Linked DNA regions of Tribolium castaneum. The protein of the gene in region 3 interacts with the protein of the main gene of each other region in a pairwise test. Links are inferred from orthologs where the notes say so. Each region holds a gene or a part of one and is shown on either strand. Other genes may lie near its edges. The genes, in order: RnpS1, nuclear RNA export factor 1 and SF2.

What was found.
Region 1: the proteins of SF2 (region 3) and RnpS1 interact in a two-hybrid assay, tested with the Homo sapiens proteins (2 studies listed by BioGRID and IntAct, with this or other methods). The link is inferred for Tribolium castaneum from reciprocal best matches to the Homo sapiens genes SRSF1 and RNPS1.
Region 2: the proteins of SF2 (region 3) and nuclear RNA export factor 1 interact in binary tests that used the Homo sapiens proteins (3 or more experiments, as listed by UniProt). The link is inferred for Tribolium castaneum from reciprocal best matches to the Homo sapiens genes SRSF1 and NXF1.

What each region holds. Positions count from the first base shown.
Region 1 is NC_087399.1:5,873,520-5,876,972, reverse strand, and holds RnpS1 (RNA-binding protein with serine-rich domain 1), read right to left. Parts: upstream 2,034-3,453; 5' UTR 1,877-2,033; coding exon 1,875-1,876; intron 1,645-1,874; coding exon 1,531-1,644; intron 1,481-1,530; coding exon 661-1,480; 3' UTR 583-660; downstream 1-582. Other genes in the region: ankyrin-3, read right to left, coding at 1-165, 216-343, 390-440; fl(2)d (pre-mRNA-splicing regulator female-lethal(2)D), read right to left, coding at 2,479-3,132. UniProt on the Homo sapiens protein: Part of pre- and post-splicing multiprotein mRNP complexes. Auxiliary component of the splicing-dependent multiprotein exon junction complex (EJC) deposited at splice junction on mRNAs.
Region 2 is NC_087399.1:3,671,285-3,675,040, reverse strand, and holds the start of nuclear RNA export factor 1, read right to left. Parts: upstream 2,849-3,756; 5' UTR 2,712-2,848; coding exon 2,657-2,711; intron 2,604-2,656; coding exon 2,341-2,603; intron 2,291-2,340; coding exon 2,204-2,290; intron 2,156-2,203; coding exon 1,721-2,155; intron 1,673-1,720; coding exon 1,563-1,672; intron 1-1,562. Other genes in the region: Rint1 (RAD50-interacting protein 1), read right to left, coding at 3,055-3,268, 3,317-3,756.
Region 3 is NC_087401.1:8,584,806-8,588,239, forward strand, and holds the end of SF2 (serine/arginine-rich splicing factor 1A), read right to left. Parts: intron 1,902-3,434; coding exon 1,729-1,901; intron 1,680-1,728; coding exon 1,521-1,679; 3' UTR 540-1,520; downstream 1-539. Other genes in the region: Pex12 (peroxisome assembly protein 12), read left to right, coding at 1-285, 333-533. UniProt on the Homo sapiens protein: Plays a role in preventing exon skipping, ensuring the accuracy of splicing and regulating alternative splicing.

The DNA.
Region 1 (3,453 bases), on a different chromosome or scaffold from region 3:
AAAACTACCTCAATGTTGGCCCCCTTGCGGATCAGTTCCAGGGCAAAGTACTCGATTATGAAAATGTCGCTGTGGTAGAGCAGGGACAGGGATAGGGCTGTGTGTCCGGAGTGGTTTTGCGCCTCCAAGTCGAATTTATCAAGCAAGTAGTCAAAAATTGCGTTCCTGAAACCAGGACTTGGTAGGGATTTACTGAACGTTAGGGGGGATCATACTTTTCGTAAATTATGGATAAGTGCAGAGGGTTGTTGCCGTTTTCGTCCTGAAGGGTGGTTTGGTCAAAAGGGTGCGGTAAAAGCTGCTTGAGGGTGGCAAGGTCATTGTTAGATATTGCTGATTCAACCTGGAGCAAAGGCTAAATTTGAGGTTATGTCAAAATAAATTATTACTTCAGATAAGAGATTTCGGCGGTTTTCATCACAATTATGTGAGACAGACATCACTTAAACGATTTACGAGTCATCTTCATCAATTTTCCATCAATTTCATTTGTAACAATTATTTGAAGAAAGCTAGGTTATGTGATAGGCAATACGTGGTAATACCAATATGACAAAATAATAATTTTATCATTTATCAATCTTTGATTATCAATACCTTAATTCCGGTTTTATTCCTTTTCACGCATTACAATACCTTAAAAAATTAAAATCGAAAAAATCATCTGGAACTGCTCGAACTGGAGCGGCTGTGCTTCCTGCGCCTGGGCGGGGGGCTCCTGGAATGGGGGCGCCTCCTCGGCGGGCTCCTCCTCATCGGTCGCATGGGGCTCCGCCTCCGGAATCTGGGCGGGGTGCGTCTGTGGGGCGGAGGCCTCCTCATATGCATCGGCATGGGGCTGCGCCTCATGGGGGGCGGTCTCGGCTTGGGTACAAGCACCGGAGCCGCCGTGATCTCCTGTCCATCAATTTGCCCCCCATCCATGTGTTTCATCGCGTTTTCGGCATCGTCCGCATTGGTGAACTCCACGTAGCAGAAGCCCCGCCCCAAGTGTGGGTGGATGTGGTCTTTGGGGAAATCCACATGTTTGATTGGTCCATACGTCCCGAAAATCTCCATAATGTGCTCCCTGTTGATGGTGCGTGTTAAACGCCCAATGTGGATTTTCGTGGGGCGTGGCGTGGGGGACCTGCGACGCCTTTTGCGCCGGTCTGAGCGCGAGCGCGAACGAGACTTGCCACGGGTGTGGTTTTTGTCGTCTTTCGCTGGGGATTTGCGATTGTTGACGTCTTTGTCTTTGACCTCGTCTTTATCGTCCTTTTTGACATCTTTTTCCTTCTCCTTTTCCTTGTCTTTGTCTTTGCGCTCTTTGCTGCGTCGGGTGGGTTTGCTGGTGGAGCGCGAACGGCGTTTGGGGCGACTGCGGTCTTTATCGCTGCTTGAGCTTGAGGACTCCGAGGAGGAACTGCTCGAGCGGGAACTGCTGCCCGAACTGGAACTGCTCGAAGAGCGCGAGCTGGACGAGCTACTGTCGGAAGAACTAAATCAAGTGTTTTAGGTGATTACAAACTCTTCAAACTCGGGTGTTACCTTCTGCTGCTATCGCTGCTGCTTGAACCAGACTCACTCTTCCGTTTACGGTCCCTACCACGTTCTTTCTTCTTATCCTTGTCGTCCTTTTCCGTATCAGAACCTATTTTTGCCCTAAGAACAATAAAAACCAACTCAAAAAATTTGTAAAAAGTAATGGTGTCCGGGAGTGAACAAACAAGTCAGTTGTTGTAATACAAATTATCTTGATCTTGAAGAACCTTGAAGGAAGCAAATCGAGCAAACACAAGTGATGCATGGGAGTTAAAATGTGCTAAAACTACAAGGAAATCGTGGAAAGCCCTCCCGGACTACAAACATAACCTCAAAACGTAAATACTCACATTTCTGACTATTCTTGATTCCTGTAAAGTCGGGACAAGTTTAGAACTAAAACCTTTCACTGTATTAACGCGGAAGTATGAAAACTACATGAAAAACTGTGTAATTGTGGAAAATTAGCAAAACGACGCTACTACGACCACTTGATGTTGGTAGCGCTGTTCTGGTGACTTTAAGTTTGTAACTGCTACACCAACGGTGGGAGATTGAATTTTGCACCCCCGCAGCTACAAGTAAAACACCGTGGTCAATAATAAGTGATATAATTTTTGTTTTATTTTATAAATACAACTTTCAACATAAAAACGTTAAAAAATGATACAATCTGACAAATTTAAAACAGAGTCGGTCGAATGAATAAAATGCGAACAATGGATAAAAAAGCGCACCTTGATAACACCTTGAATGGGGGAAAGTAATAAAATATTGCATTGTTGCCAAAACTAATAGAAAAAATTCTGCAACTGCACCGCAGTGATCAACACAATTTAGTAATGATTGAAGTCACAATTCGAAACAACCACATTAGGCTAGTATATTTCTATGTACAATTGAATATACTGTTCGTCAGTTTATATGCGTAATAGTTGGGTTAATCTCAGCTCACTATTCTGGGTCGGAGGCCATCGCGACGTCACCGTTCGTGCTGATGACGAGGGCGTCGTCCTCGTTATAGTCGATACTGAGGACGGACGACCTTCGCACGCGTTTCACACAAGTAGTCCTCTCCGCCTCGGAGTCCGAGTCCGTCCGTTCCTGTTCACACACACTGTCACCGTTCGACCGCCCATTGGCCAGCTTGAGCGTACTGTTCTCCTTCTGCAGCACTTGGGCGCTCTCTTTCGTCTTGCGCAGCTCCGTCTGGAGGAACAGGATCGTGCTCTGCATGCCCTCGACGTCCTCGTCCAGGTCGGCCAGGAACGCGTCCAGCTCGTTCTGGCTCTGTCTGACCTCCTCGGAGAAGCTCTTCTGCAGCGCCAGGTCGCTCTCGAGCTTCGCGATGCGGCCCGAGCTCGTGATTTTGCCGAGTTCCTCGTTCTCCTGGTACAGGAGGCGGCATTTCGCCATCAGGCGTTTGCCCGTGTTCGAGTCGGGGGTGAATTTCCACGCCGTTAGCTCGTTCTTGGTGTCCTCAAGCTCGGAACGGGTCGATTGGAGCTCGGTTTTTAGCTGCTGAAGGATGCAGTTCACGGCAGGATCGAGCAGGGTTGAACGGAGGGCCGAGGGGGCTTGGGCACTTTTCAGCTCGTTCAATTGGCACTGCAGCAAAAATACTCTTTAATATTGACACAAAAAATATCGCAAGGGCGCCCATTTTTCGGAGTGGGTTTACACAGCGGTCTTACAATAACAAGGTGTCTACGTCCCCGACATTTCGTTAATAAAATATACAAGTAATGTTAACCATTTTATTCAACATAACGTTTCTGGTGATTTTATTAAAACTAGTACAAACGCACAATTTTATGAAAAATTGAAAAATGATTCATGACAAAATTCGCTTCGTAGATTAGTTCAGGTTTGTGCTTATTAAAAAATTAGATAAAAATTTCATATAATCTGATTTAATCTACAAAGCGG
Region 2 (3,756 bases), on a different chromosome or scaffold from region 3:
TGAAGCACCCTTAGGGACATCCCTTTTTCGTTTTTTATCTTTCATTTAGGGCGGATTTTACAATCGTAGGATTACTTTATCTAAGAAATAAATTTTGAAAAATACATTGTTATAACAATTGTAACCATAGTAATTATACTAGAAATAAATTATCTGGGGTTTATCTGACGATTATAAAATCCACCCTTGATGAAACGTTGAAACTCATTCAAGTATTTAAGCAAAAATAATTTATTATGTAAATATGTTGTAAATATTTTATTATGTAAATAAAAAAAGAAGAAATACTGCTTTATTTTGAATTTTTTTCTAGGAACGGAATTATAACTATGTTACAATTGTGAATTAGTGGGATAAACTCATTCAAGAAGTATTTGGGCGAAAAAAAAATTATTATGTAAATGAAAAAGAATAAATACAGCTTTATGCTGATTTTTTTTCTAGGAACGGAAATTGATTTAGTCACAAATTCTGAGTTAGTGATTTTTGTACCGTATTTTCAGCCACTTCTCATTTCCTAACACATTATTTATTTGAAAAAAAATAGGATACAATAGCTCCAGTATTTTGTGCCCTCTTCAGTTTAATTCAAAAACTTACGAAAATCTAATTTTGTACAAAGTGTTAAACAATCAAAATTTATTGAAGTTTGTTATTTTGGGAATTAAACCTCCGAGGAATTTTGCAACCGATCAGACAGTTGTTACACAATTTCAAAGTAAGACAAGCTTCGTAAATTTAAAACTAAAACAGCATTACACGATCAACAATTTATATTACTCCTGCATTAAACAACAAAACTAATAAATTTAGAATAAATCGCCACTGAAGAGCATATAATTTTTCAATTTTTTAACGGTATTATTTAGTATTTCTTTTCATTATTATGTCTTGTATCAATTCCATAAGATTACTACATAAAACAAAAAAATATAATAATTATTGTACTATGAGGAGTCATTGATTGTTTAAGGTGCAGAAAAACAAGACAATCTGCTTGATTTACAAGCATTTTTGCCAAATTACATACACATTTAAGTGTTCTGGTCCACTCCTTGTAGTTCTTCTGTCTTCTTAAACTAACTGCATTGTTTATGGACAGCAAAATCTTGCAATGCTTGTCCAGCTATCGCTTTACGAAGCTTCGTAACTGCTGTAAGGACGCACCTTTGAGAAACCTCCTCTCACTTTGATAATACAAAACAAAAATTATGTAATCCCATGGAAATGTTTGTATGTGATTTTTTTTTATTTTTATACACTTCAGTGACTTAATTATAGTCAAACAATAATATTAAAAGGTTGCCAAATGCAGAATTCAGCCACAATGCAACGAAGCCACATGTAATGCTACTTAAGTTTTAAACAAATTATCGCGAAAATTTGGGACTTTGAAATTTGCGTAACAACAAATTTCGTTAATAATTTTCAAGTACTTTTATTCCATTGTTGGCAGAAAACCTCTTTTTTATTCAAGTGACAATCTCCGATAACCAGTCACCCTCATATGCATTCACGTTCATAACATGATGACTACAAAAAATAAATTAGTTCAACATTACCCAATGTACGCCTCTTGGTCCTTGTATTTGTTGCATAATGGATTTCCATTTAAAACAATATCGACGATAGGTAGTCCAATAAAAGGGTCCAACATTGACAGATCCTTAAACTGAATCCCCAAATTTACAAAATCCCCGATTTTGGGCAACAACATTACCTTATTATTTCCTAGATGCAAAATTTTTAAATGGGGCAGTTTCTCATTGGTCTTCTTTAAATACGACAAGTTTGCTATTTTGTTATCGAATAAATTAATCGCTTCAATTTCTGGGATATTCTCCGCGATTATTTCCAAAACTGTTAGAAAAATGATCGGTTTGAACAGTACACAGAAATTGTCTTGTAGGTCAGGGTCGGCGTGGAATTTCGTTAAATCGAGCGCTTTATTAGCGGCATTGTACCGCTTAGCCATCGTTAATTTAATTTTCTCCTTCATCTCACTATTAACGTCAACATTTGGCATCCCATGACTGACCTTAATCAGCAATTTAAACCCGTCGGGCATTTGAATCTGGCGATCTAAATCGTACAGCTTTTCCGCGGCTTTAAACTCATCCATGTAAAAAGTGGCAGTTGTGCCGTTTACACTCCACTGGAGACAAAAAATCAGTCAAAAACCCTCACACAAACAAACCATTACCGTAATTGGCCACAAGGGCAAAGGTTGGATCCGCTCGAGCAGCGTCTTCAAGACGAACGCCTTCTCGTATTTATTCCCAAACGGCAACTAGCAAAACACGTGTAAAACCCCCAAAAAGCCTCACTTAATACACTTACTGTCACGCGGTACCAACCGAAGGGGCTCTCCAAAAGCCGCCGTTTCTTGTGATTGGGCACGGGCGAGTCCCCGCGACCGCCCCGTCTGCCTTTAAACTGCTTCCGGTTGAAGTTTCGCCCGCCCCCGGACGAGGCCCCCATGTCAATGTCTTCATCTTCCAGGTACGCCCTACTCGCCGCTGCCCAGTTTCTATTGTCCTTTTTATACTTGTTTGACTTGAAACTCACTTTGCGGGTCTCGCCACCGCCGCGAAAATCATGCTCTGGCAATTTACTGCGTTTTAAACGAATCGCGTGGAGTGTGCTGGGGACTTACCACTGTATTGGCTTCTCCACGACGGTTTGTTGTATTTTCCGCCCTTTGAGGCCATAGTAGCGTCTCAATTACTTACTAGCACTTAACTATAACTATTATTGTTTTTTTAATAATTTTTTTGAGCCTGATTTAACACCACTTCACTTTCGACAAGTAAACGCCATTGATACGCGCTGCCAACAAGGCGAGGCCAAATTCCCTGAGAAAATCACCGACTTTTGAATAGTAGAGTACAGGAAATTTGTAAGGTTCTGACTTGTTTTTTAAGACGCCAAATATTCTGGCCCAGAAGTAACATTTTATACTCTACTCTAGATTCACTTACAGGGTGATTCAATGAAATGCAATGGTGGGGAAAACATTTATTATAAAATTTCTCAACAAAACGTATAAATGCTTCAATCAACGTCCATCCTATTAACAGTAATGTCGGTGCGCTGGTTTAGAATCTTAACGGCCATTTTTGGGGTGAAGCTGACCACCCCAACCTCCTTGAGGGCTCTCCCGCGGGAGTCCTCAATACCTGTGGCCCCCTCAAGAGCCAAGAGAGTCTCTCGTAGTAGCAAAGCGGACCCTTTAGTTATATTTAAAAGATTGCAAGCTTCAATCAGTCTGCAACAGTTCTTATTTTCCACTTTACCGACTGAGTAAATAACTTACTGGACGAAATACGTTTCGGGCCTTTCGGTATATTGCGAAAATAACGGCAGTAAATTCCTTGTTACGTCATACTTTAACTGCAAAGCGCCTCCAGTGTTAAATCTATTATCAAGGACAAGATCCTCAAAGAGGTAATTATCTAATTGTTGCGCAACCGAGCGCCAAACTATCGTAAAAAGTTTCGAAGCTAGAGTTTTTTGCAGTTGGTGTAGTCGTTTAGCCACGATTTCGAAAATAGGGCAGGCTGTGGGTGTTAAAGACAGGCCTTTGATGTCTTTACCGACATTCATAGAGGACCACCTTTCCCTCCTGTAGGCTTTACCTTGTGACCTGACTTCCAACATGACATAATCTGATAAATTAAATAACAAGTCGCGTCTCATGTGCCTATAGAGTGATAAAGTTTCGGCAAAAACAGTTTCACCCTCAATATCCGTGGG
Region 3 (3,434 bases):
GTTTACAATTATATTAAATACATGTCGCAACAAACCGAAGCTCAATTGCCGATTCTTCAATTGATTGATGTCAAGTTGGCGTATTCGGAGCCACTTCCACCTGAGCCAAGTTTCTGGTCGCTTTTATTCAAAGGGCATTTGGCGGATTTGTGGCAATTGAATATTTTGAAAAACGCGGTTACAAGTACCTTCGAGTTTGGGGCGTTTTTCTTGCAGTTTTTGCAAGCCTGGAGCGCTCACCAGAATTATAGTGTGACGGCGCTGCCAACTGTTAAACCACCAATGGTGAGTCTAGTGATAGTGTTGGTAGTAGTGCTAATTTGATTGTTTAGCTCGATGGGAAAGCCCGAAATTATCACAATAAATGTCCGATTTGTTTACAATTTTGGAAAATACCGACTGTTCTTCCTGTTTCCGGATACGTGTTTTGCTTTCCTTGCATTTTGCGGTATTTGAGGGACAACCAGAAGTGTCCGGTTACGAATCTTCCCGCCAAACCGCTGGATATCGTTAGGATATATGATAATGAATAAAAGACGTTGTAGTTGAGAATTTTTTATTGAAATAAACATGCAATTGTGAAAACAACAAAAAGCCACACTTTTTGTCAAGCAAAATGATAAAAAAATATTAATAAAAAACGAAAAAGAAGTCTCAAATACCTGGGAACAAATCCACGAGGTCCTTCCGGTACACTCATCCTAATCCTAGTAATCCTATCCTAATCCTCAAACAGTTTTAAATCCACTTCATCGCCAAAATCCTAGGAAAAGTATTAAAATCCCCCGAAAATTACTACAATTTATTTAAAAAATCCTAATCCTAGGAGTTTGTCCTTTCCTTCCGGTGAAGTGGAGATCAAAATCCCGTGTTTGTGAGACCTATCGCATTGCAAAACATCTCGTTTAAACACTGTTTTTTCAATGAGAAACGTGTCAGTTAATTTTTTGAAATGATTGTGTTTCATTGTTAGAAAAATTGAATAACTTATTTACCGAGCCATTTAATTGTGTGGTGTCCTCTCAACACTCCGAAAAATGCAATGCTTAGTGTGTTAAAAGTTTAAATATCCTCCTCCACGATCTTTGAGACTCCCTCCTAACAACATTCATCCACTCCTCTTGCATCCGGGTGTGTCAAAGATAACATTTTATTGTCTATTATTTTACTATCGACTTTATTATTTTTTCCAAAAACCAGTCCAACGCTGATTGACTCAGCAAATTGTACGGTAACAGAAAAAAGAAACAATACATATTAGTGCCTTATCCGTACTCTAACCTAATTGAAAATTTTTATAAAATTTAAGTCTAAAAAATTACAAGAATGGAGGAGAGAAAAAAACGATTCTTCCAGGAATGTCAGAAGAATTAAAATACCCACATTTACAAATACAAATTCCAGGGTTACCAACCGCTTTTTTTCTCTTGCATTTTTTTTAAATCAATCAAATTAAAAAAATCCCCGGTTTTTTTGATACGTACATTATACAAAAAGGCCAGTCCGTAGAGTAGATTAAATTAGGAGCGAGAACGGCTTCTGGAGTAACTCCTTTTGACCGGACTGTATGTTGGGGAACCCCTCCGACGGGGCGAATATGAACGACTGCGTGACCTTCCCCCTGACCGTCTATCACTCCCCCCACGATCTTCCTTCACCCTTATGTACGAAACCTCCCCCTGACGCCAAATTAAAACACAAATCCCTCAACAACCAAACAACTCTTACCTCATGTGACCTAAACCTCGAATCGTCCAATTTCTTTATAGCATATTTCATGTCTTCGTATCGGAGAAACTCCACAACGCCTGAACCGTCCTTGAACGCGTCCGCGAAGCACACGTCTCCAGCCTCCCGCATGTGGTCCTTCAAGTCCTGCCACGAGCCCGACGGTGGCAACCCTGCAAAAATTCAATTGTAAATATTTTGATGTAAGCCTATGTAAAAAGATCCGGGGAATCGATTGGTGTCGATAAAATCACCACATTCCCAATAGTTTTTAAGTTACGATTTTTTTCATCTTAAAAGACTTCGTTTTTTTTTAATTCAAATATATGCATTTATTTTGTAGTATAATCTCTATTTAGTTCAACGCACTTAGTGCAATGTGTTTCTAGTTTTTTAATCCCATCCCTGAAGTGACTTTCTGGTAGTTCTGCAAAATACTTATTTATAGTCGCTATTACCTCCTCATTCGAGTGATAATTTCTCCTAATCACATTTTTTTTTTAATTGTGGAAGTCTGGGGAAGTCAAATCAGGCGAATATAAAGAATGTTCTAATAATTCATGTTTTTAATTCGTCAATTTTTCCATTGCCAGAGCGCCTTTGCGACACCCTTTCACACACTATTTTTTCGTATCTAATTCTTGGTGCAAAATAAACTACACCCTTTTCTCAGATATCCCTATCACCTTAGCTACCTCATACACTTTCATTCGCTGATTATCCAATATCGAAATTTGCATTTTTTTGAGGTTTTTATCCGTGGTTACTGTTTTGGTCATCCTTCACAAAACTCATCATTGAGAGATGTGCGACCAAGTTTGAATTCAGCTGGCCATTTTTATAGTAGAATATGAAGAGGTTGACTTGAATAAACTTAATAAGATTACGTCTAATACTTCCGGAGTTATTGCCCGATATGCAGGCTGTTCTGTTTTTATTGTTACAAATTTGTATAATAGGTAATAGAACATTTATTTTTAATCATAAATTTCCTATAAACATGTAGGTTTTCCTCAATATTTCAGAAACCGTTTCAGATAAAAATACAAAATTTGGTACAATTGATAACCTTCATACGCCTAATCGAATTTAAGGATCAAATGTAGGAATTTTTAATGAGAGGTGTCCCAAACTAGGGGCACCGTGTGGTCAGATACGAAATATCGACTAAGCTAAAGCTTAGTATTGGTTTAACTAACCGGTCGATGTTGGCCGCTTAAGCATTGGCTTATCGCTTAACATTTTTAATATTAACGTTATTAATATACATAACTTTATAATTTTATTGAAATCGTTAACAGATAAATTAAAGAAACCGAAGTAGCAATTTTAAACGCAAAAAAAATATGGTCAATTTTGTTCAAAATTATAAAAAAGATACTTGATTACGTTCGGTGAAAAAAATGGAACATGGGCCCAAATTGCTCGAAGATTTAATACAACAAAAGACACCCGTAGAGAGGCTGCTAATTACGAAAAATATATGACAATTAAAAAAATCATAAAATACGCAGACCAACAATGTTAGAAAAAACAGACTCATGAAGCGCCATATAGCCCATATACTACTTACTTTCACAAATGTGGAAAAAAATTGCTTTTAACAATAATGATGAAGAACTATTAAATTTCCGGATTCAAAAATGATGCACAGAAACAGTTTTTTTAAATAAATTTCGGTTCAGTTTGAATTAAACAAATAAACT